Mytilus edulis: one gene and its partners. The protein of the gene in region 2 purifies or fractionates together with the protein of the main gene of each other region. This does not show direct contact. Links are inferred from orthologs where the notes say so. Each region holds a gene or a part of one and is shown on either strand. Other genes may lie near its edges.

Region 1 (7,780 bases), on a different chromosome or scaffold from region 2:
TGCTCCGATCACTTACACGCGACATTGCTGAACTACCTTGGTTTCAAAATGATAAAAAACAAATAATACCTTTTTGGACAGGCTTCCATAAAAGACTTTCCGACCGAAAAAACATTCATGTCGTCGTTGCATATCCTCCAATCATAGACGCAAAACCTGCTGACATGGCGACAGTGTATACGACAATGGTGAAATGCCTAGAAATGTCAAAGGCCGCAGGTCAGAATAACCCAGTACAGACCTTCGACCAACAGCTTTATGCCATAGCTCAACAAGTAAAGTGGCCTATGCCTCAGATTTTTCACCCACACGTTGTTAGATTAGGTGGGTTTCACATGGTTTCGTGTTACCTTTCAGCAATAGGCAAAATATGGGCATTAGCTGGGCTTCGGGATTTATTGGTCGATTCGGGTGCATATGCAGGATGTACTGTAGATCAGATTCTTCAAGGCAAGCAGTTTAATCGCGGTGTTAGAGCTTACACATTAGCATATGAAACTGTGATGGCACTATGGTTCAAGAAATTTTTTCAATGGTGTTCAAACCAACGAAAAATTGCTAACATAGACGAAAAGTTCTGGCAAACAATGCTTTCTTGTCATAATGCATTCAGTGACCTTAATACAAAGGTATTAGATCTCTCTGAATTTTTAATTCTTTTCCGGGAACAGTTATCCCCGTTGATTTCGGAGTTCAGAGAGTTTTCTTATAGAGCATCTCCAACTTTTAAATTTTGGGAAATGTTTTTACGAGCCGTTGAAGTTATGCTAATGAATGTCAAAGCAGAACGTGATGGAGATTGGACTTTACACCTCCAATCCGTGTCTTCTATGTTGCCATATTTCTTCATTGCAAACAAGACAAATTATGCTAGGTGGACACCAACTTATTTAATTGACATGCTGAATCTCCCAGAAGAAACTTATTCAGCTTTCATGTCCGGAAAGTTTGCAGTCAGACAAAAGCCTGGTGTTTTCAATGGCATATGGAGTGATATGGCAACAGAGAAGACTATAATCAAAGATTCGAAGGGAAACGGCGGTATAGTCGGATTAACTACACATAAATCTGCTCTTCTTCGTTGGACTTTTACTAGGCACATTCTTGCAAGGTACGCTTCTGAAATGAGGAAAAGGTCTGAAATTGCTATTGGCTCTGACGAAAATTACGAAGAGAGTAGACCGACAGCGATGAAACGCGATGAGCAGCAAGTGAAGGATCTTATTGAGCATGTTCAAAATAATATGACAGATATTCGACATTGAAGAATGTCCCAAATCGCTAATAAACATTGCAACAGGTTTGCATGCCAGTAGAGAAGTTGAAGATTCGCTGCTGAATTCTGTAGATCGAGGACAAAAATCGATGAAATCTTTTGTAGATGGTTGTTTCAAAGACAACGAAACTCGCGACTTCTTTTCCCCAATTTCTAAATCTGCACTCAAAACCTTTGACGACATGGCAAAGCCATGCAATCTAAAATGTCGATCTGGCGATATTGTAAAAACTCATATTAATCCCGAGCTTGTCTTTCGAAGAGCTTTAGCCCTTGCAAATGTCCGAGACGAAGTTACCGTTGAAAAGGTTTTGGCTTACCCCATCGGTAGAATACCAACATCCATTTTCCATGACGATGGGTTGATGAGGAAATCATGCAAAGCAGATTTCATTCATCTATTGGAAAAAGAGGTGTGCACCTCTTTCACACTTCCACCGTATGATAAGAATCGATCAATCCTTATCAGAGATGGCATGGGTATTGTTCAAAGTCTTTTTGTAAAAAGGTACAACAGTTTTGGAGATTTGGCCAAGGACTACTTTAGAACTTTAATAGCAAGTTTTGAAAATTTCGGGTGTGTCGTAGACGTGTTTGATCGGTATGACGTAGAACATTCTACAAAATCAGCAGAAAGAATGAGGCGGTCTATTTCAAATGGTGGTAAGATTTTTCAGGTCATTGAAGGTAGGTCAATTACAGATTGGAAGAAATTTCTATGTGCATCGGAAAATAAACAAGCATTATTAAGATTTTTGGGTGACTATGCGCTCGCACACTTCAATGAATTCGATTTGAATGAGCAAGACGAACTATTCTTAGCTGGATGTTTTCAAAACCCAGAGACTGTTAAACAAATTTATGCCGGAACTGTTACTGATTGTATTCAGTTGTTCAGTACACAGGAAGAGGCAGATACAAGAATCATTCTACAGTCTCTGTTTGCTAATGAACAGCTAATAAAAAGCAATTCCAGAGGTCGCATTGTAATAAAATCATCGGACACTGATGTTTTACTTCTGTGTATAAGGTATTTTCCCAAAATGACAAACATTGATGAATTGTGGTTCCAGACAGGATGCGTTTCTTCAACCAAAGACGCCCGACGGTTTATACCTGTACACGATATATACAATGCCATTGGACCAGTGGTTTCTAGTACATTACCAGCTAATCACGCTCTAACGGGATGCGACACGACGTCTTCTTTCTTTGGAATAGGCAAAAAGACAGTATACAAGACATTAAAACAACACCCATTAAGATATCAAAGTTTGATCAATCTAGCTAGTTCTGATATCAAAACATCTGTAACAGTGGGAAGACAATTTATCGCTGATCTATATGACCCCAAAGTCAAGGCTCAATCTGTACATGGTGATCTAAATAAACTGCGAGTGAAGTCAGCGCTATCTAAGGATGCTTCCTTAGTGAGACTTCCTCCTTCAAAAGCATCTTTCAGACAACACATATTTAGAGTATCCCTACAAGTGTACGTCTGGATGAATGCCCATATTGCAAAACCACCACCTAGATCACCTCTTGAATATGGATGGACAATGGGGAATAGCTCGATAGTTCCACTATATTTTGAGGGGCCAATGTCTTCTGACTTTTTACAAGACCTTGTTTGCACATGCAAAGGCAAATCTATTTGTGGTAAATCATGTGTATGTTATGAACAACACTTGTCATGCACAAGCATTTGTGGTTGTCAGGGCAGTGATGATTGTAGAAACCAGCTTACTCATCAGACTGTTTTAGAAGATTGCAACGACGCGGATGATGATTAGTATGAACCCCAATGCCCAATATTTCATGTGTTAGATGCTAGAAGCCTTTTCGCTGTTGAAAATTGTTGAGAAAATAAAATTAAAAAAAAAAATAGAAAAATAAATAAATTAAAAAAAACTATAAAAAAAACCTGCCAGTGGTCTCCGACCTTGACGTGGTTGGTAGGCTTGTAAACCAACAGGAGACTTTATCGAATAATTTAAAAGTATAACATGTACTTTTTTGTGTTAGTTTTTCGTAACCACTTCAAATCATCGGACGTGCATAATAATGTCAAGTGTTATTGAAATATACAAAAATATCTTCATTTGTATCAAAATTTCTGTAAATCGTGTTTGTGTGATATATATAGTGCTTTAAAACGGTAAAAGTCAAAAGTCTACTCTTGATTTTTTGTTGTTTGAGTTGTTTTTTAAAAAAGGGGGATGCACATCGTCATGCATTTTCAAAATGATATTACTCTTGCACTGGTTGACCTATTGTCATCAATAAAACTTCATATACTATCGTGTTCATGCTGACATTTATGCATCAAGACTATTTTGATAATTTCAACATTATTTTTTTATTTAAAAAGGGAATAATGAATTTGATCATTTTTTCATTGAATCATGGACCGGGTGTAAACTTTACAGTTCTAACTTCTCCTTTATTCTTTATATTATCTTAACAAAACTTTCCCAAAAATATCTTTATATATTGTAATATATTATTGAAAAGCTGAATATTAAATATAAAAATTTTTTATCGATAATTTTTGTAAATAAAGATAATCTTTATCATTTTCTTCCATGTTGGCTTGGGTGGTGAACATCACTAATCTATGTCAATCTGGCATAAATATTAGAAGCTGCATTTGTACAGCCCCCCTAGAGCTTGCTTCCATTGAAATTTTTCTCAGTTATCATGAGCGAATACCGAGAAATTGTCCAAAATGTCCAAAAATGTAGATTTTTTAAAATCCCCCCTTTTTACCTTTAATCGTAATTATCAAAAATCTGCACCACTTTGGCATTCTACGACATGCCTTAATAGAAGGGTATTATATTTATCTTCAAAATAAGACCAAAATTAGCCGTGAGGTATTTCGGTGCATTAAATTTTTAAATTTACCTTAATTGTCACCGTACTATTACAAAGACAAGATACTTGTATCTATTACGTTGACCATAATATGGCATTCCGTTTTTTTTAAACAAAATATTACCAACTCTTTCGATTTGACTTTTAGGTTAGAATGGGGAATACTTGTGTAATTTGTAGAAAAAAAGTCTTTTTTTTAAAAATACTATTGCAAGATGGAAGAGTCTTAGAAATATAGATGCCACAACTGCAACAAGTGTATTACAATATTTCTTCACTCGAGACAATTAAATTACAGTGGTGGAATCTGTTTCTCTAATGATTGATATACTTGAGATTTCTGTTAGTCTTTTTGAGTTGAATGTTATGGTAGTTTGTAATTTGACATTTTGCTATATTTAACCATGTATGTAACGTTAGCATTATTATGTTTAGTGTGAATGTATTGAGTATAAAAATGTGTATACGTGTATATCTGATGTCCTCTTACACACCTATGAGGTTTATTAATAAAGTATTGTCTATTGTCTACTAGGGATACCCAAGTCGTAATTAATTAATCTAATTAAAAAGAAACTTTTCTGAAAGGTTCATATTTTGGTCTTTATTTAGATTACTCATTTGGTTGTTAGCTAGACCAGACCAGACGATCCCATAATGCACTTGCATTCCAAACTCGATGGAGGACGACTACGACGAAGAGCGTGAAAACGTAAAATAATTGAGCTATTTTCCAAATATTAGTGAGATTATATTAAAGCAATATATATGCTTTAGATGTTTATAACATTTCCTCTACCTTCTGATAGATTTCAGCACATAATTACATGTTTTTATTGAAAGAAATCATATGTTGCTAATGTAAACATCTTGCGCTTTATCAAATTTATATCATTCTCATATCATGATATTGTCAGCAGCGAACCATATCCACTTATTTCAATGAATTGCCAACAGCGTCATCTCGTTTTCCCATATTTGATATTGCAATTCATATATTCAAGGTCTCGCATTCATCATGTTCATACAATTTTCATTCATTTGACAAATTCATGATGATTTCTGAGGTACATTTCGCCCTGTGTCTGCTCGAGCAGAGTCTGTTACCCCTGTTTTTTTCTCTCCCTGTAATATCTTTTCACTAACAGATTTAGGGTGTTCTGGACCCCTCTCCCCCACTTGAAAATCTTTAAAAATAAATTTGTAAAAAGACAGCATGCAATCACTTCAGCATTTCTTGTTTTATGCATATGGTTATCTTTACTAAATATTGAATATCCAGTGAGCTCTTAATAGGAACAGGAACAAATTTTGGCTCACAGCTACACTCAGTTAAATAAAAACACGCCATAATTACATTTGCCTGGGGGATATTATTAGAGGATCAAAGGATTTAATTAGGACTATCAAAGGCAGCTCTCCCTATATTTTATTACTTTGTTGGTTTATTATAATCAAAACGATCTTTTCTGTTAGCTTGATTTGAATAAAAATACTTTCACACTCTATTATATCCATAAGAATTTTTTTATTATTTTGTTTTTAATTCTGCAACGTACTGCTGTCAGACTGAGAGACACCTGCTAAATCTAAGGATATTGCAAACTTCATTTTCACATCTGTACCTATTGCTCAAATGTATAGCATTTTAAATAAACACTTGAATCTAGCTAGTTCCTTTTCTTTTCCTAAACAAGAAATGATGCTTCAAATATGTGTGGCTGTTTATTCAACTTTACCATGTTTACCAGAAGGAATTTACTGCAAAATTTGTGTTTTGTTCGCCACTACCTGACAACCTTAAACATTTTGATAAGAAACATTTTCAGTAATGGGTAAAAGTATTCAAATGGTGAAAGCAAATCTCACGAAAAAAACAGAATACTACCAAACAGTCTTATTAAGAGCACAAGACTTTTTTTGCGATCAACCATTACAAGTGAGAGACTCAATGTCCTTGCTTTAATGCATATTCATATCAGCACTGAATTGTCAAAAGTGCAGTGATGGATCACTATGCTAGAGCCTATAACATCAGGATGAAATTATCAACAATACTATGTAGGATGAACATTAGGTTTGGTATAACAAACTTCTACAAGGGCCAAATAAAAATATATGTGTGGTTCCAGTAACCCTACCTTCCCTACTTTTTTGTCTTGAAATTAGCCTACCCTAAAGATTTTATTGTCATATTTTATTAAGCACTGTTAAAGTCAGAATGATGCTCCCATCTGCCCATAGGCTCAATGTAAAAAAAACCAACATAAAATTAAAAAAAATCCCTACCTACCTATCCTAACTTTTTTTCAGATGACGAGATGTAACTGGAACCACATATACTATTTTATTTGGCCTAATGTTCAAAAACAAGTCTCAAACGGAAGTTCGAAACTAACCTAGTGCTAACCCTAATACAAACCCTATGCTACCTTTAATTAAACTTACGTACTCCTTGCTATGCATGCCTACACTGAAGCCTTACCCTTAGGTCAGGTAGGTACTGGAACCCCTAGCTAATGAAAAAGACAGATATTCTTGGTTTATGAATATACATGTACATCTTGTCACTGTGTTATCATTATTAAAATACATGTACCAAAACATTGTAGATAAAAAGGGGGGGGGGGGTATATCCAGTTATTGTGTAGACATGTATTTAAAAATCCTGTATCATCCAAATGTAAAACAGTGCTTCAGTTGTAGGAGGACAATATTCACAGCTTGGTATATTACATACTTAAACAGTATGGCAAAGAAAAGAAGTACAAATGTGACACTGAGTTCTGACAGACTTCTTGATGGTACTATATTGTACCCAATTACAATGTACTTTGCAGGCCACACATAAGAGAAGTTCCAGTCGATACTTAGTTAAACATTTCAATAGTTTGTAATGTTGCTGCCTTATTTGATATGTCTCTTGGTTGGTCATACATAATGTTTAAGTTATCTAATCTATTAAATTAAAATGATTGTCGGTTTGGACCAATCACACAGCTGTCACAAATATTTTAATGTTCGAAACTAGAATTTATATATTTTTTGATTTTCAGGCCAAACATTTTCAGAATCAACCATACGACGAGGCATTGGAGGTTCCTGACGGTGAAGAAGTTGCAAGCACATACTCACCAACTCCACGAGTACACCACCCTTCTGGTATGATCTCTTTTAAAAACATTTAATAGATAATGACATATAATGTCTATGAAACAGCATACATGTACATCCATTCTCTTATCATTTTCACATAGAGGTTTACAAATGTTTGCTACTAGATATTTGAAGGTTTCCAACTTCTGTAAATTCAGAAATTATTGCATGCATTTAGTATTGCAATTTTGTCATTTTAGACATAAATGCAATTTTAATTTTTTAAGATTTTTTTTCAGGAAAATCTGTTTCATTCATATTATGAAATAGTTCAAAATGCAAGTTTAAATTATTACGTTTACAACTCTGTCACATTTTTCGCAACAATTAAAACTTCACGATAACTTCTGAATTTGCAGTATATATTCTGTATATTTCTGTATATTATTGTATATTTTTGATATTTTGAACATTCTCTCTCTAATGCTATCAAAGGAGGTAAACTACTAGGAATCCCTGGCATGCCTGGTA
Region 2 (7,044 bases):
GTCGCAACCTAGCGCACTGGTAGCAGTGATGAACAATTGGCAATTTACATTTCAGGTAAAATTCCTGACAGATTTTATGGCTCCTTTAACATCACACTTGGATGAGAAAACAGAGACTGGAATTATCTTTAAATTTCTTGATTATTCATTGATAAAGCAAGATATAAATTGTATACAAGTTACAATGAAAGAGAAAAATATTTCAAGTTTTTTGGTAAATATTCAACAATATCTCAGTTTTCAAACACTTTGACTAAAATTAATTAGGCTTGTTTAATTTTCATAAAATTTTGACAAAATATTTACTTTGACCCTTTGAAAAAAATTAAATTTCAAAAACTGCACACATTTTGGAAAAAATTTCATTAAATATATATATAGCAGTTTGTCAAAAACTAATTTTCATCATTGAAAAGCTTAATATTTCCTTTACTATAGAATGTGATTAAAAAGTTCATCTGTTTTTACAGAGTTATCTCCCTGTAGTGTTATGTACCACCTAAAAGTGCAAATAACCTGCACTAATTCAAAATCATGATTCATTTTTAAACACAATTTTTACTTTGTTTGGTAGTAACAAAATAAACAAATATGTTCTGAAGATTTCCTTAATTATTGAGGGCATAACTTTTCATATTAAACAAACTCATATTTATATCATTCAGCAGAAGTTTTTATGAGGAGAAGTGCTACATTCACATTTGCTAAATCTTATCTATTCGTTGCAAAAAGCAATGCATGAAATTTCTTCCAGTCATACCTTATATTGCTATAGTCATATCAACTAAGACTAAGGGGCAATAACTCAGACTTTCTTAACATTTTTAATTTATGTTTACAAATATAATCGAGTACTTATTGTTTTACAGACCATACAAGAATATACTACAATTTATTCAAAAACAAATTTGTTGATCCTGTACCTTCTGTACCAATTTCAGTAAAAAAAAAATGAAATTAAGTGGTTATTACAAATACTGTTTAAATCAAATTTGCAGAAAAAATATAATAGTTAAATATTGATCTTCTTATAAATTTACACTAAGACATTTTTGAATACCCAGAACATAACATAAATAAAGGTCCCTATGCTTTGGCTGCTCCTTTTTTTTTGCATTTCTAAAAAACCTCAGAGATCACTCATCTATTTATCAGTCAGAAAGGCTTACTCAAGAATGTGTACTAAACCCAAGTAGTGACAGATGCAGACAAATACATTAATTACCTAAAACAGGCTATTAATTGAACTTGGAATTATTTTTAATTATGGAATTTGCTTGATTTCTTGTTATTGAAATTTATAATAAATTCCATGCTTATTCTGTACTGAAATGTTCTGTGCTGCGCGCAACACTTTCTATTACAAAGAAAATAGTATATTTTCAATAGAATGTACTGTGCCGCGCACAACACTATCTAACCAAAACACATTGTATGGAAAGTTTTATTAACCACTCAAAAGATCATAACACCAAATCATTGCAAATAAACATGGAATTCATTAAAAAATTTAAACACAAGAAATTATTCAAATTCCATAATTAAAAATAATTCCAAGTTCAAATAATAGCCTGTTCTAAACACCTTTAGCTATTATCCTATAAATACATAAAAAGTGCATATATATTAATCTAAATCTGTGGATATCTACTTACCATTAAACAGGATCTGTAATTTGCAAACATTTTATTCTTTCTAGCATCACAATGTCCTACAAAAAAAAGATAAAATACTGAAAAAGATGTTATTTTCTCAATCATTATGCCGTTTGTGTAAAACAAGCAACTGTCATATAGACTCTTTATTCTTCACTTGTCTTGTTATCAATGAAAACTATTAACATTTTCAATATCTTATTGAAGCATCACCACTTATATAAAATAAAACATTCTAATACACTTTAATATATACATCATAGTGTATACATTTATTGACATACATAAAACATTCAAAAACCTATATAAAATATAGCATATTATAAAGCTTATAGTAAAATATCATTAGCTTAAATATTAAATCTTTTTTTTTTTCCAGGCAAATCACTGATAACTTTTGGTGCAAAAAGGATTGGGCTAGATGATCTGGATTCTATTGAAGGGTGAAGTTTAGGTCACCAAAGGCTAAAGCAATGACAATGGGGTGAGTTATCTTTATATTCAGAGTCTGACTGCATATTTCACTGTTACTTACATGACTTAGTACCTTAAACTACCTTTACACCTTTATCTTCAGGTCCTCATCTTGAATTGTCGTAATGCGATTTCTTGTCTCATAATAATAATATATTTATATATATTAGACTTATTTAAAAAAAAACTTATTTAGGTGTTCGCAGCTGAACACTTAACACAAATTAAACATATGAATTTATATGGGTTCCAATTTTCACCATTTAATGCAGACTTAAAATTATTCAAAGTCTTTGCCGTCTCAGTTAAATCTGACAGGTTATTCCACTGATCCACAACTCGAATTGAAAAAGTATTTAGTCTGTGTGTCGTCTTACACTGTTTAATTAATAAGTTCTAATAAGTGACCTTTAGTATTATTAGATGGTGCTAAAGTAAATAGGCTCATTTTGTTTATGTGTTACATATTTGTTTTTCGTTCATTTTTCTAAATAAATAAGGCAGTTAGTTTTCTTGTTTGAATTGTTTTACATTGTCATTTTGGGGCCTTTTATAGCTAACTATGCGGTAAGGGCTTTGCTCATTGTTGAAGGCCATACAGTGACCTATAGTTGTTAATTTATGTGTCATTTGGTCTCATGTGAAGAGTTGTCTCATTGGCAATCATACCAAATCTTCTTTTTAATATATACAAATACAAAATAATATTTTTATTGGCACAAACTCATTAAATAAATGGTTAAGACCTATGGCATTACATAATACTATAATAATTGACATGGTAGAATGAAAGGTTCCATGATAACATATCATGCTATAAAGAAAAGTTACATATTGATGTATCATATAAGTTCACTATTTCTTATAATAGACACTCTGATATGAAAGAGGAAGACAGTTTAAGTTATAATGCTGAGCTATTATTAACCAATAGAGATATTTTTTCATCAACGGTAATGTTACGCTGTATTTGAAATAAAACATTTATTTTTATTTTCTAATATTTCTCGGTTTGAGGTAAATCTATTACATTTTAATAAGAAATGTTGTTCATTCTCAATTTCCCCAGAGACAGGACAGTATCTTTCCTCTCTAGGAATATTAAGATGTCTTCCCCTTTCAATACACCTTATCGCTAATCCCGGCTGAACCGGCCGCTTGAACTTTTGACGCATACATCAATCACTTTTCCATTGTGGCGTCAGATATTTTGTTTTGTGACGTCAAATTTTTACGGGAACCTGTGTAATATCCAGTAATGGCGGACAAATAGCGATGAGGTGTATAATTAAAGGATGTGCACTTATGTGTATTTTGCATATTGCTGCTCTATCATTTAAATTGTTTAGTGAATCAAAATATGATGGTCTTTGACCCATTTTGTAGACTTGACGAAAGAAACTGAGCTTAGAAGACTCCTGTATATTTATGTATATCATCCAGTTGATGTCATCTTATGATCTTATCTATCTAACAATTATTTAGTGTTATTGTTGTTAGGGAAGCAAATAAACAGTTTCATGTCATGCAACTCTGTAAATAAAAGTTGTAAAAATCTTAGTTTTACGTCAATTAATAACAGAGGAATTAACTTTACTCTTAAGTCTTTAATACTATGACTGTGTTATCTGTGATTTCCAAATTTCCAACCAAAACGCACTGGTTCTACATGCATACTTTTTACGTTGAAAAAGCAGTGTTTTTTTGACACCAGTTTTATCACGAGAGTTCTAATAAGGGCAATAACTCTTAACTTAATTCGTATTTTGTGATATTTTACAGTATCTAAGACAGTAAAAATTAAATTGAATGTGTATAGAATACGAAAATTGTTTAGAGGATGAAAGGGAGTTATAAAATTTATTTTGATAACAGATTTAGCAAAACTAGACAGGAGTTAACAAAAATGTTTCGCCGGATATTATTACTGCGCATGTCCAAATTCTTTGGCTTTCCTCGCAACAGAACAGAAATTCAAGTTCAGAACATATACAGTCCAGCAATATGTCTTACAGAGATTTAAGAAGTATATTCATTACTGTATTGTCAATTAACTAAACTCCAATATTGTATAACTAGTAAAATAACATCTGTGCTCACAGGATTTTTTTACGAGCTATTTTTTTTCATCATAAATTAGACATAAGTGTTAGACATAATTGACATAGCACTTGTCTCGCAAGAAATATACAATTCTGTCTCAGACTGCATTACTCTTACTCATGAAACTGTACAATCTGACCATATTGCTGTATACTTAAACATACAAAGTGAAGAAAATGTTGAAATAGAAGAAATGGAGGAAACCTGGAACTTGAAAAAAGCAGATTGGAAAAAATGGAAAGAATCAACAAAGGAGAGATTCGAAAATTTTATATTTAATAGAGAGGAAAAGGTACAAGAATTGTATAACAGATTTGAAAAGGAAATTATGGAATGCATGGAAGAGTCAATTCCAAAAATTGAGAAAAAAAAGTTCTTTGCTCATAGGCACCCAGTTTGGTGGGATGACGCCGTAAAAGATAGTAAAAAAAGCCTTAATCAAGCACAACGTAAATTTAAAGTTAAAAGTACTCCGAATAATTTTGAAAATCTTAAACAAGCAGAAATTAATTTCAACAAAGTAAAGGATTTGGCCCAAGAGGAATGGGGAAACAACTTAGCAGAAAAGCTTTCAAAAGCAGCTAATGTCAAGGACAAATGGAGTGTATTTAGAAAAATGACAAAGAAGCAAAATAATAACATGGTACTTCCATTTGTTGATGGAAATGGAAACGTAACATTTAAAGAAGAAATAAAATGTGAAGAACTAGAAACAACTTTCTTCAAGGGAAAACACTTAAATCCCAGTTCCTTTAATGCAAAATTTTATAAAGAAATAATGGACAAATATCATTCAATCTCAAATGATGAAGAACAACACTTAGAGGATGACAAGGATATTAATATCAACTTTGCCATAGAACAAGATGAGCTGGCTGGTGCAGTTTACAGACTAAAAAATGAAACTTGTCCAGGACCTGATAATTACTTTTCATTACTATTTATTAATGGAGATGATAATCTGTATAGCACTTTATTATATATAATGAATAAATCATGGGATGAGGGTTCCTTACCAAAATCATGGAAACAAGCAAATGTCAAGTTCATCAAAAAAATTGGTAAACCAAACTACAATAATCCCTCATCATATCGTCCAATTAGCTTAACAAGCATACTAGGTAAACTAATGGAAAGAATAGTAACATCAAGGTTAGAAGGTTATGTAGAGTCAAAATTTATATTAGATAAAGAACAAGAAGGTTTTCGACATTTCCGCTCCACCGACAATGCTTTATTATCATTTGTTCAAAACATCTTTAATGGATTTAATAAAGATGAAAGTACTATTGCATTAATGATTGACCTAGAAAAAGCCTATGATAGTGTTTGGAGAGAAGGACTTTTAACAAAACTACATGGATATGGAATTAAAGGTAAAATCTGGAAATGGATAGAGAATTTTTTACAAAACAGAGAAGCAAGATGTAATATAAACAAGCATCAGGGACAATGGTTTAAAACTCAAATTGGGCTTCCACAAGGATCAGTAATATCCCCCTTACTTTTCAACATCTTTATTATTGATATTTTTGCTAAAATTTCCTCTAACAAATGTAAATTTGCTGATGATGGGACAATCTGGAAAACAGGCAAAGACAAAGATGAATTAGTGAAGGAGTTACAAAAAGATATCAACTCTATCCATGAATGGTCAACAAAATGGAGAATAAACCTCAGTATAGAAAAAACAGAATTTTGTGTATTTTCCAGAAATGGTATGACAAAGGAGAACATCAAGATAATGTTACAAGGAAAGGAATTAAAATATAATCCTAACCCCAAAATTTTAGGCCTTACTTTAGATGAAAAATGTAATTTCAATAAACACATAGACACTGTTGAGCAAAAAGCACAAAAATCTTTAGGGATAATCAGAAACATCAAGGGAATAGCAAAGGTATCTACAAAAATTTTAATACAGATATATCAAAGTATAGTGCTGTCTACAATGTTATATGCTAGCAGTGTATGGCAAATCAACAACAACACGCATATAGATAAATTAAATGCTATTCAGAGAAAAGGATTAGCCTTATGTCTCAACCAACCAGCAACAGCTAGTATAGAAGCCTTGGAAGTAGTAGCAGGAATAGTACCACTGGACCTCAAAAGAGAAGAAGCTGGTATAAGACAAATTGCAAAAATAAAATCATATAAAATCACTATCCCTATTAAACAAATTTTTGAAGATTGGAAAAATATAAATGAACCTGAAAAGATAATCTCACCAATTGGAAAAATGGTATTACAGTCTGAAGACATGAAGAGGTCAACAGATATTGATTCTGATTATATAGAGTCTCAATTTGAATTCCGAGGGTTAGCAGCCTCAAAATCACCACCAGAGTATTGGAAAAATCTCGGAAGTTCAAAGACTAGATCAGAGGAACAAGCATTTCAGGGAAAGACTATCATTTTGAAAAAAATACAGCAACTTAAAAAGAATACAACATTAGCTTTCACTGATGGCTCCTGCAAAGGAAACCCAGGTCCATGCGGGGCTGGGGCAGCTATTTTAATATCAAACAGCACAGAACATGTGGAGTTAACACAGCCAGTTTCCAATAGAGGATCTATTTTATTAGGTGAATTAGTAGCTATCAAGCTGGTAATAGATTTTCTTATAATTCCAAACAACAGAAAAAACACTGAATCCATCAAAATTTTCTCAGACAGCCAATCAGCAATTGGAATTTTGACTTTAAATTGGAAATCAGATAATTACGGCAAAACTATTCATGATATTAAAATCGGTATATTGGCACTAAAATCAGAAGGAATCATTGTTTCCATTGAATGGACCCCTGGA
Region 3 (6,896 bases), about 23 Mb from region 2:
ATTTTTCGATTGCTTCATACGGTACTAGACAATAATCTACCACTGATGAACCCTGAGTAGATACATAGGTAAAGTTATCCTTTTTAGAATTTCGTCCATTCAAGATGCAACAGTTTGCATTGATGCAGAAATCGCACAAATTTTCCCCATATGCATTAGCGGTGAAATCCAAAACTTTCCGTTCCGGGAGTATATCGATACCGGGAATAAAATCCTCCATTTCAGAACATCTACCATTAAAATCACCACATATGTAGAAAAAAGCGTCCTTGCCGTATATGTGAATCTGGCTGATGAGCATATCAAAGTACTCATTTGCATCGCATGTTCTGGTAGAATTTATTGGTGGTAGATAACAAACACATGAGTAAAGCACATCAGCTTTATTTAATTTATCTTGTAGTTTTATCCACAGTATTCCTTCAAACGAATCATCGCATATTACAACATGAAAATTTTTCATTATTTCATTTCGCACAAGGAATCCGATTCCACCAGAGCCTGTTCTTGCTCGAACATGAAGCCGCTTTCTGTTTTGACCAAACCACGTATATCCTGTTACTGATAATTTGCTCTCTCCAGCCAAATGAGTCTCGGCGACCCCTAATATGTCTATGTTTGTAAGTTCCAAGCAGGAAACTCGCAAATAAAAATTGACAGAGCCACTATCTGTGTTCCAGCCTCTTACATTCCAGAACCCGCATTTCCACTAATGTTGTTTTATACGCCTGCGGCTATCGGGATATATATTTCGTCGTGACTCACTACCGCTTCGTTGCTGAAAATCACTGGGTACATTATACTGATGTCTATTTCTACTGTTATTTTCGTACTCTCCCTGGTCAATACGGTTGAAATTGTTCCGTTTCTCCCTATTGTCAAAGTTCCGCATTCCACTAGCCTGTCCTTCATAATGTTTCACTTGAATTCTGGAGCCTCGTATTTCTAGTTTGTCTTGACCAATCGTGCGGACTATGTTCCTCAAATTAGCATTCATTACTCTTTGTGCTTTGGGAATATCGAAGTCAATAAATACATTTTTGTAGTTTCACCTTTTTAATCACCATAGGTTAAACAAACAACTGGCACATGTACTGTTGACACCTATCTAATCACCCAAGTACCTGTTATTACACGAAATTGGGAACTAAATATCCAATTAAATGTGTCTTGTCTTGTATTTGCTATAACCGGACTTCAATTTTGTTTTGTTATTATTACAAATCTTATGTTAATTATTGTAAGACAATTCAGTGAATTGTAGCATTTCTGGTTTCTGATCATATTTTGTATGGTGGTCTCTTGGTGTGATTTATCTGTACAATGTAATACTATTTTTAAGAATAAAGAAAACTAGGGTTTACAAATTTTATTTCAGTAGATGTTCATGTCAACAAACAATTAAAACATAACAATGATTTCGTCATTCAATAATCTCTAATATTTCTTACGAAAAATATGAGGCATATATAAAACACAAGCACATTTTAAAGTCAAAGGTATTTTGTCATTATCTATAAGACTGAAAGCATGCAGATATAAATGTTCATTGTCAAAGCACACTTAAAGCATACATAGCACATTTAAAACACACATAGCACATACAAAACATACATAGCACATACAGAATTCTGAGTCATATCTGAGATAACATGCAAAAATGAATGTTATTGTCAAGGCAAGACGAGTATAAACATCGGCAGGAGCAATTAACAGCTAGTCATTGGACGGACCGTAGATGTTGCCACAATCACGAAGTAGACGGGATGCTGTGATATCACCTTCTGTGTACTGGTCCCATAGCTGATGAAGACGACCTTCCAGCTCCTTGTAGCGTGTGCGTTGGTTCCTGAGGACCTGTTCTTCAGAAACTAAGTGGACTGTAAGAGACACAAGCTTGGCTTCACGATGAAGTGCTGGTACTAAGATGTAGAAGGCGGCATTAGCTTTCCCGATGTCAGAGTTGATTCTTGTGTGCCAACCTTAAATAGAATTGAATTATAAGAAATGATGTATTGTCATACATATATAAGCTATTTGCCTCATCACAGCAAAAAAAACCAACATGATTTATTATTAATATATATATAACTATATTGTTTAACCTCTATAAATTGTGACTTGCTTGGGGTTCTCTCATTGGCAATCGTACCATAACCTCCTATATCTATATAATTTATATTGCAGTAATCCTTGTTGGTAACGTCATGTGATTACATAGATATTAATTTCATAATATTCTTTACACTATAATAATACCATTAGTTTGATACGAAAATGAAATTCTTATGTTAAATAAAAATAGAAAATACATACCTTCAACATCATTATTGGTCCTGATGCTGGTCTGAAAGATATTCCAGACCTATAGTTGTTAATGTTTTTGTCATTTTGGTCTTTTGTCCAGAATAAGTAAAGACAAAATCCTGTGTTTAAGGTTCTATCATTCCTCAATAATATCAAATTGGAATATGGGATATTCTTTCAATTTTCAAGGTTAAAGAAACATGGATAAAAACTAATCCATGCATTCATGTTTCATATTATTTATATTTCATTTATCTGTAAAGAGAAAGTTTAAAGTTCGTGAAATGAATACGCAGACAGGACTGCCCCCTTGCGATGCCCAGTACTTGATTTGTCAAAAGTTGGTGAAACGGAGAAATGAATTCGCAGACAGGACTGCCCCCTTCCGAAGACCAGTACTTTATTTGTCAGTCTACTTATCGTTTTTTTATTGTTCTAATGAAGTTATATGCAATACTTAGACTCTGTTCACAAAAACACTAGTTTACTAGAATTATTCCTTCTTTACCTTCAGTGTCGCTTTTCCTTTTTCTGCAAGAGCCTGTTATAACTAAAGATCCATGATGATTATTGTTACTAGGTTAATGTAATTGAGAAACATCACCCGTTGAGATGCTGAGTTATATCAAGGAAGAATAGTTTAAAAGGAATGATGACAAGTTATAGAAATTAAGGTTGAGACAGAACAACAAATAACTATTATATTTATATATATGTATAAAAAAAAAAAGATCAGTGTCGAAATTTTAGTGAGGCAATTGCTTCACTTGCCTCAAGGGTAGTTACGGCCTTGTCGACGCAGTGGTCGGTACCCATGTTGAAAATGATAATGGATTTTTTTATCATGTTATTTTATAGAAGTATTTGGTAAGATCAAAGAAATCTCTGTTGTTTTTTTCAATTTTACTCCAAATCTATTTTTGGATACATGTATAATAAATGTTTGCCTCGGCTTGCCTTTCTAAAAACATTGTATCTGTTTGATGTGACCATTTGAATATAATTGCTTTTCAATTGCTGAATCCATTACAGATTAGTGAAATTGTTAAGAAGCCATTCACTGTCAATCAAATTTGTCTTTGTTTATTTACTAATCATAAACACCAAGGATTAAACACAATAAAAACACGAACACACGCCAATCATTAAAATTTCTTTTGTCAATAAACATCATAAATCACAATAATATTTCAAGTATAAGTTAATTACCCTCATTTAAACATATCTAATTCAACTGATGTAACAAATATTAATCATTTTTATATACGATCTTTTTTTTTCATAAATATTCATTATAATCTCATAAATTTGTATATAATTTTAATATATTATAAGATTTTTTTTTATTACAGTAAAAAAAAAAACAATCTTCTAATCGTAGTCCGAGTTGGTTCAATATATTTCTGCATATGAATAATGGTAGGCCGAGTTTGTTATAGTCCGAGTTAGTTATAGTCCGATTTTGTTATAGTCCGACTTTGTTTTAGTCCGAGTTATCCAGCAGCGAGTATTTTGATGTTGATTTCCGGTTAAGTGAACAAGTGCTTTTGAAGAACAAGCTTTGTGATTGGTCAACTGAGGACGAATGATCCAATCAAAAAGTCCAATACAAACTATTCGTACATTCCTTGCCATTTACCAAAACATTGAACTATTAGTATTTTGATAACAACATTACCATCAAAATACAGCATGCCAACTTGTTTAAGAGCAAAATGTATTATCGTTGGTAAGTTGAGAGTCCACCATTTATGCAAAAAAGTATAATTTCAATACAACAATGCCCTTATTTTACTTTTAAAGATATATATTCTACATGTCATATGTCATGTACATGTACCTGATCATGTCATGATGTCCATGAAGATTTACTGACTAAGTATGCATAATGGTCTACATGCTTTCGACATGTTTGATGGACTGTATCCAGGTGTGTTGATAAGTCGTTATTCTAAGGCTATTTTGTTCTTATTTTTTCTGTAGACTTAGCTTTCATTTTTTATTACCATGCATTGTCAAGCTTGGTAACTCATAATTGTTTGTCAGTAACTAAATGTACGATGCTGTCCCATACTGAACCTTCTGACCTTGTTTGTTTACATTCAAATTTCAATGGCATCAAAATCATGTGATGTCAATTCGTTATACCCAATCAAATTGCTCTACTGTCAATTAGGGGATTTTTCAGTCTACGGCAATTACGTTATTTCTTTGTGGGATATTGCTTCAAAATAGTTTGCAATAATTTAAGGTTTTATTTAACAGGAAATCTCTTTTTTTGCCATCTCTTTTGACATCAAGGGAATTTTGAATGAATATTTACCTACAGCTATGATGGTCAGAATATCCATCTTTTTATAATGAATAAAAAGAAAATTTTATGAAAAATAAATGTAAATTGTTTTTTATTAACCAACTCTATATTCCTGTACAAAATTATGGCATGGACATCGTTTTTTTCGTGTAGTTTTCCTTTCATTTTGATTGGGATTTTTTCGCGGGAAAATTGTGATAGACGTAAGGAGCATGTCATTTTAAAATTCCTAAAAATACGATTTGCTTGACCTGTATTGCCTGCCACAAGATTGATGACGCTGAATGGAATGTACACAAAGCAATGGAGGCCGGAAGTGGGATTTTGTGAAGTTCTAGAATGTTTTTAGACATTCGGAAGTCGGGATTGAAACTGGCATTAGAAAATTGGCATTTTTTTGCAATAATTGAGAACAACAATGAAAACTTACCTAAGAAATGTTTTTTTTATTCAAAAGGCAGAAAAAACGTATTCTGCACTGTTTTTCTACGCCGGAAGTAGCATAGTGACGTCAATGCGGTGTTTCCCTGTGTGTTAAGTTCAAACACAAATACCTAACGAACTGACAAGATGAACGACTTTAGACTACGGTAGGATACCAATGCGGCCGTTGTCGTTTGATCATAGTCTGACTTTTGTTTTAGACAGAATAATTATGATGTCTTGTAAGTGTAATGGTAGTCACTTTGTTTACTTGTTTATTTTATTTATTTGGGAAAATTAATATTAGTATTACTTAAAGTTCCGTTTCTCTTTCTCCTGAGACTAGTCATGTAATTATTCTTGTTGGGACTTCCTGCTTCTTGTACGTGCCCGACATCTGGCCTTGCTGGGCTCATCCCTAGGAACTATAAGTATGACGTCACTTACCAGGTTCGGGCAGTCTACACTTAGGATTTCAAATGAGCAGACTTTCATATTGTTTTGCTTTAAATATGGAACCTTTATTTAAACAACAAGTAGACCATATATTTTATTCAGTATTCTTACATTTATGTAATCGTATGTTCAACCATAATGTTTGTCTTTAAAACCAACCAAGATGGGCGACATGGCTACAAAGGGTAAAATGCAGTTTTTGGCTCATATCTCTGAAACCAAAGCATTTAGAGCAAAGATGGTGTGGATAAAATTGTTTATGAGGTTAAGATCTATCGGCCCTGATATTTTCGCACCAATCGGGCAACTTGTTATTGGGTTGCTGCCCCTGAATTGGTAATTTTTCAGAAAATTTTGAAGCTTTTGGTTATTATTTTAAATATCATTATCATGATTATAGATAGAGATAAACTGTAACAGCAATAGTATACAGCAAAGTTAGAGCTACAAATAAGTCAACATGACAAAAGTGGTCAATTGACCTCATAAGGAGTTATTGCCCTTTATAGTCAATTTTTTACAATTTTCATAAATATTTGTAAATTTTTGTAATTTATTTTACAAAATATTTTCCACTGTTACATTCTGGGCTAATTTCATTATCGATAAAGATAATTGTAAGCAGCAAGATTGTTCAGTAAAGTAAGATCTACAAACACATCACCAACACCAAAACACAATTTTGCCATGAATCCATCTGTGTCCCTTGTTTAATATGCACATAAACCAAGGTGAGCGACACAGGCTCTTTAGAGCCTCTTGTTAAACAAACTCATCCTTTGGATTCGTTCATTTAGATAGTTAACTTGTAACTAGTATATAAATAGTACATAGATGAAACTGAGCACAAGTTTTAAATATTTATCAATTTGACAAATATCTCATACACATACTTTTTTTCAGGTGATTCTTCTGTAGGAAAGAGCTCCATTTGCCAAGTTTTTCACAGCGATGGATCACACTTTCCTAAGAATTATACAGTAGTAAGTTTATAATTTGTTAGGCTGGAACTTATCCAGTAAATTAATTTAAAATTTCATGCATTATCCAAAATATAAACACATTAATCCATACACATCACTTCAGTTGTAGCAAATTAATTAGAAAATCTGTTATTTAGTAGTTTTACCGAAATTTCAAACATTACAGGGTTAAATAATATCTTGTTTTGTACATAGTCATGGAATTGAAATAGAACATTTGCTTGTCACCTTTGCAAATTTTCACTGCTGAATAGAAGTTGAGGTGACCATATTTCCATACCAATCCTTTGTACACTACAGTCATGACAGTATACATACATGTATATGGATAATTAAAAATGATACATGTATATTATTTATCTTGTTTAAGACAAAGAAAATCACCAAATTATCAATAAGCATAAATTTACAAA
Region 4 (7,165 bases), on a different chromosome or scaffold from region 2:
AGATCAATTGGCAGGAAAATAAAGAAAAAAGTGAAAAAGTAAAAAAAATAAAACATACATGTACATGTATAGATATATAGAAACAAAATCAATTATTATGCAATTAGCAGTGATCTGGAAGGTTTTTTTCACTATGGGCCAAGGGCCCCTCAAAAATAAATTCAATGGGCCATTTTAAAAAATAATGGGCCATGTTGTCCAATGAGTGGGCCATTTGAATTGACTAGCTACTTCTGTACAAAAATAACCAGATGCTCCGCAGGGCGTAGCTTTATACGACCGCAGAGGTTGAACCCTGAACGGTTGGGGCAAGTATGGACACAACATTCAAGCTGGATTCAGCTCTAAATTTGGATTGTGATTAAACAGTTGACACAGCATAGGTTTCTGACACAGAATGAATGTGTTCTAATGAACTTAAAATTTTTGTTTTCTCTTAGATCAATTCACTATGCTGTTGAATATTAATCCTCTCAAAAAAATGTTTGAAGAAATTTTCTTTATTTATTTATGAAATTTCAAATGAGAAAAATTGAACCCAATTTTTTTAATCACATCCCCCTTTCCCTTATTCCAAAACTAATCTCAATTAAAATTTCTAATGCAGTTTGCAACAATAACTACTCATTTAAATACATCATAAAATATTAAGATGTAAAAAAAAAACTGCTTGTTATCACTGAATGGTAAAGATTATTTTAATTTATCAGTTGGTAGTAAAAAGTGAATATACATTGTATATTGTATATAACAAAGATTTAAGTTGATTCTGGACAAAGAAAGATAACCCCAATTAAAAAAAAATCTTGCTATTGCACAATATTTTGCAATTAGATATTTCTTGCTTACTATTCTGGACAAAGAAAGATAACTCTAATTAAAAATAATTTGCTATTTCACAATATTGTGCAATTAGATATTTCTTGCCATTGCGCAATATTGTGCAATTGAAAAGACTTGCTATTGCACAATACTTAATATAATAATTTTAGATCAGATTTGGACCAACTTGAAAACTGGGCCCATAATAAAAAATCTAAGTACATTTTTGGATTCAGAATATCAAAGAACCCCAAGATTTCAATTTTTGTTAAAATCAGACTAAGTTTAATTTTGGACCCTTTGGACTTTAGTGTAGACCAATTTGAAAACAGGACCAAAAATGAAGAATCTACATACACAGTTAGATTTGGTATATCAAAGAACCCCATTTATTCAATTTTTGATGAAATCAAACAAAGTTTAATTTTGGACCCCGATTTGGACCAACTTGAAAACTGGGCCAATAATCAAGAATCTAAGTACATTTTTAGATTCAGCATATCAAAGAACCTAACTGATTCATTTTTTGTCAAAATCAAACTAAGTTTAATTTTGGACCCTTTGGACCTTAATGTAGACCAATTTGAAAACGGGACCAAAAGTTAAGAATTTACATACACAGTCATGACAGTTAGATTCGGCATATCAAAGAACCCCAATTATTCAATTTTGATGAAATCAAACAAAGTTTAATTTTGGACCCTTTGGGCCCCTTATTCTGTTGGGACCAAAACTCCCAAAATCAATACCAACCTTCCTTTTATGGTCATAAACCTTGTGTCTAAATTTCATAGATTTCTATTTACTTATACTAACGTTATGGTGGGAAAACCAAGAAAAATGCTTATTTGGGTCCCTTTTTGGCCCCTAATTCCTAAACTGTTGGGACCTAAACTCCCAAAATCAATACCAACCTTCCTTTTGTAGTCATTAACATTTTGTTTAAATTTCATTGATTTCTATTTACTTAAACTAAAGTTATTGTGCGAAAACCAAGAATAATGCTTATTTGGGCCCTTTTTTGGCCCTTAATTCCTAAACTGTTGAAACCAAAACTCCCAAAATCAATCCCAACCGTTCTTTTGTGGTCATAAACCTTGTGTCAAAATTTCATAGATTTCTATTAACTTTAACTAAAGTTATAGTGCGAAAACCAAGAAAATGCTTATTTGGGCCCTTTTTGGCCCCTAATTCCTAAAATGTTGGGACCAAAACTCCCAAAATCAATACCAACCTTCCTTTTGTGGTCATAAACCTTGTGTTAAAATTTCATAGATTTCCATTCACTTTTACTAAAGTTAGAGTGCGAAAACTAAAAGTATTCGGACGACGACGACGACGCCAACGTGATAGCAATATACGACGAAAATTTTTTCAAATTTTGCGGTCGTATAAAAAGTATCACTATTTGTTGGCAAAGAGGTGTTGGTACTTACCTATATGATTTTAAATAATATCATGGATATTGTTCCTGTGATTCTGTAATTTCAATGAATATACAATAACTTCTTCCAAAACGGACAATATTAAAGATAACCTGTATTTACAATGTTTAAATGGTACTGTTGCCTTGGCTTATTCATGTTCATGGTTAGTGTTTTTTTAACATTAAATTTGGGTCTTCGTCGATACCATACTTATTCCAGGCGTTCCGTATTAAAGGACATTTCAGGCACTTCCTCTGCACTTCTTGTATTATTATTATTACTTCATCACGATGACAAGATTAACAGTAGAGAGTACTATTAATTGATAGAACAAAACAATAGTTCGCTGAAGTCATGTTAACAAAATGTCAAACGAGCCAAAGACCAAAAAATGACAAGGACAGTTAAGCGCCTTTTATGGAGACAAAAACTATATTCATAAAAAGACTTCGGGGGTTTTCAATCAAAATAATAGCAATTTAAACTAAATTAAAGATTATTATTAGAGTTGAATCTCGTCTGTAATAGCCAAATTTCACAAATTTAAAGTTGTTTATAAAAAATTATATCATGAATGATGGTTAATTACGTTTTTTGGGTCATCAGTTAGACCGCATGGTTCTATTATTACCATAGGAAAACACCCGAGACGTTAAACCGCATGGTTCTATTACCATAGGAAAACACCCGAGACGTCCCAAAAATATATAGGTGCTCCTATGATTGGAGGAACATTATACAGTTGTGTACACACACATGGCGGCACGGAACACGATCGGAAATCCATTTGACGATATCTAAAAGTTTCGAAACGATGTGAAAAATACGTGGGCGCTTACATTTGTCACTCTATGTGCCATTTCTGGTCAATATGCGCTATAGGCGCAGAGCGCACGTCCTTCCCGATCACTGCAATTAGTGGCAAAATTTTTGTCAGTTTACTTGAATGAATTTAGCTCTTTCATCTCTACAGCAACACAAGAAATTTTAACGTTATCTTAATCAACACAGCAGGAGCTACAAAAGGGCGTCTCAAATTATTGCTATCGACTATGGTATTCCTTTCTCTCATAAATTTGTAATTACACAATGTAGTGTAAACATCCTCACCACATCAAAGTAAATAATGTATGATTAGGTGTAAAATTTGATCTATACATTCTATCCAAAATCTGAGACACCCTTTTGTTGATAATGACTCTTGGAAAAAACATATGATAAAATCAATCCTCTAGGGGGATCAATGAACAAGCTAATTTTAATTGAAAGTGGAAATTTCTTGTAGAATTTTGTAGACACATTATAATTGATTAAATAATTGTTGTATAATACTATCAATGCATTAATTCGAGAGAGTAATCTGTTAGCTATCCATAGATAAAACTTTTATAAATTTTCAAGCATTATAAAGAAAGTTGCAGCATTTTAAAACTGGGGAATTGGAGATATATATGAAATCTTTGTATTGTGCTACCTTAATAAATCCTTGAATAAGGTAAGATTTCAAATTAAACCAAAAAGCAATCACTTACCTATTTCATCAACCTTGCTTAAAAAATCATCAATTTCTTTCTGTGTGCCAATACCATCATTCGTCGCCATTTTTGAATTTGTTTATATTAACAACCATAGATTATTGAAAGACGAATGCTTCATTCGCTATTTTCTAATACATGTACATGTCTTCCTTGAAAGTCTAGATTGATCTTTTAGTACAAGTGGTTTAATCTATCAACGCTTGTTTTGTGTTGGGTTTTTTCGGGCTGGCGCAGGACTTCGTAATAAAATGCAAGTGGAATTCGTTTGTTTTTTCGATAATGATCGGTAAAGGCCAAGATACACGAATGAAAATCAGCCGAGGTGGTATAAGTGTTTTAAATATCGTTTTATTAAATGTGATTCAAAGCTTTCGTTGTACGTAGAATAAATAGTTTTGGTAACAACAACACTCGACAGAGAAAAAAATCGGTGAAGAACTTTTGAGCGGTTATTGAAGAAAAGGAAACAAATCACAAAGAAATTAATCTCGCAAGCTCTTTCATTTTTCGATTCTTAGCTTTTAACATAAAGAACAGACGACTTTATACCGGATACAGTACGGTTTCTTGATCAAGTGATACATTTGACACTGACTGGTTGACTGACAGTCATAATTTGTATATCAGGTTTGTCACCTGAAATTATTATAACATTATTCCTTAGGAAACATCTTTTAATTTTGCTTAAAGTATCAAGTGTTGATAAATTGATCCACTCTACAGGGACTTTTTATACTAACGGGACTGGTCACTTATAACGATGTCTATACAAATTATCGAATTATAGTTATCCCGTACCATTGTAAACTCGTACCAACGTCAACTCGTACCACTAAAGAAAAACTTGTACCAATGCAAACTCGTACCACTGCTAACTCGTACCAACTTATTTAAATGCAATTGAATGAATGGTGTTTAATAATGAATATATACTTTACTTTGGGTCTCATTAATTAGCGACAACAAGCGTCAAGAAGCGACAACAAGCGTCAAGAAGTGACAAGCATCAAAAAGCGACAAGAAGCGACAACAAGAATTATTTTAGCGACAACAATCGACAAGAAGACTATTTAGCGACAAGAAAACATTTTTTTTTATTAGATATAAAGAAATTTGTATTTAATGTTTTTTTTTAAATTATACGAGCAGATATGTCTAATTAAAATGTTTTATTATATAGATAGACAAAGAAATGAAACATTTGTGAGGAAGAAAGAGATTGTGAAGTTTATATAAGTGTATTGGTAGATGAAGAAATTTAACATTTGTGAAGAAGAAAGAGATTGAGCTTCTTTTTTTTATTTTTTTGTGTCAATATTTTCAGGACAATGATGCACAAATAATTCATTTTGTGAGCTTAATATATATTGCACGAAAAGAGTTTGAAAAAATAAATTATAAGATAAATAATATGTTCTAAAACACAAGGAAAAGTAATCTCATAATACAATAATTAAACGTAATACTGGCTGTTATTCATAATAGATGATAAAATATTATGTGAATAATGTTTCATTTTTTTCTATCAATTTTAACTTTCTTGTCGCTAAAATTATTTTCTTTTGCATATTCTTTTAATATTTATTGCAATAATTAATTTTAATTAAAAAAAAATGTTTTCTTGTCGCTAAATAGTTTCTTGTCTTTTGTTGTCGCTAAAAAATTTCTTGTTGTCGCTTCTTGTCGCTTGCTGACGCAAATTCTTACTGTCTATAAACATGATAAATAACAATGAACTATAGCTGTTTCCTGTTGAGGGGTTCCCGAATTTTCCTGCCAAAAAAGCACATGGCTTTCAACAATTGTAAACATAGCATTCACTTTGTGATCATGGATTACAGCTTTAACACTTTCACTACTGAATTTATTTTTTTCCCGGGATTCTCTGGCCGAAATTTATTTGCACGAGGCGTTTGCATGACAGTGATTAATTTGACATGTGCTACAGCAAAAAACACCTCGTAGTTTTGGTCATTGAAAACTCAGGAACCGTAGCGATTTAATTTGGATATAGATATTCAACTTAAGGTACAGTTAAAGCAATGTTTTTACTTTTTTTATGGATTAAAACTAGTTTGAAAGCTCAGTTTAAAAAACAAAAAAAAGATTAAAAAAACATTTGCTATTTTTATCTAAGTTTTCATTAAATTCCAGTATAAATTCAAGTAATTCAACTTTATTTTTATTAAGTTTACAAAAAAAAAACATAGAACATTTATATTTTTTTTTAATATATTTTTAATGGTACGAGTTCTGAATGGTAAGACTTCCCAGTGGTACGAGTTAACTTTTTTGGTACAAGTTAACTTTTTTGGTACAAGTTAACTTTTTTGGTACGAGTTAACGTGGAACGAGCTTTCGGTGGTACGAGTTTACCTGCTTCCCAAATTATCAGACTGATCTCACATGACTTTATAGCAAATCATTTCAAATTTACGAAATGTTCTTCATATGTTCATGTTTAACAAAAAATCATTTTTATGAAATTTTATACATTTTGTCATTGCAAAATGCTGTTTTTCAAAAGATTTCTCAGATTGTTTTTTAAATATTGATCTTTGAACTTTGAAGTATTTGTTCGTTGAATTTTCAGTAGCTGCCATCTTGTTTGATATGTAAACCATTTTACGCAACTGGGGTGTTCTTTAGAACAATACGTCTAAGTTTAATAATTCATCATTCTTTTAAAATCTTATATTTTTTTATCATCATGATCATAAATGGCTATTAACAAGATTTTATTTTTGTCTCTGAGATGACGATCTTCAGAAGTACTATACATGTACATGCATGATTATAAATGCTTAGTACATGTAATGTAATTTAAAACTTCATATATGTAGTTATTGCTTTAATTAGCATATATATAGCTTCATTAATCAAACTCCAAATAAAGTTCGGTAGTTTATTTATACGTAGTTATATATGATGTTGTAAATAATAATTATATATTACAGTTTGTTTATTTATAGCTAAATGTCAGCAGAGGAAAAGAGACGTGGAGAAGATGTGGAAGATGGAGGACCAGGCTTAGTTTATATGCCTTTTGTTATAATGGAAGATCTTCTTGATAAATTAAGACTATTGGATTATGAACAAAATTTTTGTAGAGAAAGAAACCTTAAACCAATATCAAGGTAAAATATTCATAATAATGCAATTTGAGTTTATGTTCTAAAAATATATGTAACAAGATTGAATTGCAGAATGAGATCCACTATAATGACCATTACATGTATAAGTTAACCAAATTTTTATCAGTTTTGAAAATTTTAAAACAAAGAGAAATAACAAATGTTCAACAAAAATGATCAGCAAGACAAGATCTACATATTTCAAACATGGTCAAAATTATTAATCAACTCCTCATAGTTATTA

What was found.
Region 1: the proteins of clusterin-associated protein 1-like (region 2) and intraflagellar transport protein 46 homolog purify together in Homo sapiens (affinity purification with mass spectrometry; 3 studies listed by BioGRID and IntAct, with this or other methods). This does not show direct contact. The link is inferred for Mytilus edulis from reciprocal best matches to the Homo sapiens genes CLUAP1 and IFT46.
Region 3: the proteins of clusterin-associated protein 1-like (region 2) and intraflagellar transport protein 27 homolog purify together in Homo sapiens (affinity purification with mass spectrometry; 3 studies listed by BioGRID and IntAct, with this or other methods). This does not show direct contact. The link is inferred for Mytilus edulis from reciprocal best matches to the Homo sapiens genes CLUAP1 and IFT27.
Region 4: the proteins of clusterin-associated protein 1-like (region 2) and intraflagellar transport protein 57 homolog purify together in Homo sapiens (affinity purification with mass spectrometry; 4 studies listed by BioGRID and IntAct, counting the BioPlex papers as one, with this or other methods). This does not show direct contact. The link is inferred for Mytilus edulis from reciprocal best matches to the Homo sapiens genes CLUAP1 and IFT57.

Annotation. Positions count from the first base shown.
Region 1 is NC_092348.1:89,657,127-89,664,906, reverse strand, and holds the start of intraflagellar transport protein 46 homolog, read left to right. Parts: upstream 1-4,759; 5' UTR 4,760-4,832; coding exon 4,833-4,865; exon of another isoform or gene 4,866-4,896; intron 4,897-7,209; coding exon 7,210-7,315; intron 7,316-7,744; coding exon 7,745-7,777; intron 7,778-7,780. UniProt on the Homo sapiens protein: Forms part of a complex involved in intraflagellar transport (IFT), the bi-directional movement of particles required for the assembly, maintenance and functioning of primary cilia. May play a role in chondrocyte maturation and skeletogenesis.
Region 2 is NC_092352.1:6,024,726-6,031,769, forward strand, and holds the start of clusterin-associated protein 1-like, read left to right. Parts: upstream 1-4,025; 5' UTR 4,026-4,133; coding exon 4,134-4,155; intron 4,156-7,044. UniProt on the Homo sapiens protein: Required for cilia biogenesis. Appears to function within the multiple intraflagellar transport complex B (IFT-B). Key regulator of hedgehog signaling.
Region 3 is NC_092352.1:29,288,554-29,295,449, reverse strand, and holds the start of intraflagellar transport protein 27 homolog, read left to right. Parts: upstream 1-3,882; 5' UTR 3,883-3,999; coding exon 4,000-4,036; intron 4,037-6,403; coding exon 6,404-6,483; intron 6,484-6,896. UniProt on the Homo sapiens protein: Small GTPase-like component of the intraflagellar transport (IFT) complex B that promotes the exit of the BBSome complex from cilia via its interaction with ARL6. Not involved in entry of the BBSome complex into cilium. Prevents aggregation of GTP-free ARL6.
Region 4 is NC_092348.1:50,745,428-50,752,592, reverse strand, and holds the start of intraflagellar transport protein 57 homolog, read left to right. Parts: upstream 1-4,144; 5' UTR 4,145-4,414; intron 4,415-6,759; 5' UTR 6,760-6,763; coding exon 6,764-6,924; intron 6,925-7,165. Other genes in the region: tetratricopeptide repeat protein 12-like, read right to left, coding at 3,782-3,851. UniProt on the Homo sapiens protein: Required for the formation of cilia. Plays an indirect role in sonic hedgehog signaling, cilia being required for all activity of the hedgehog pathway.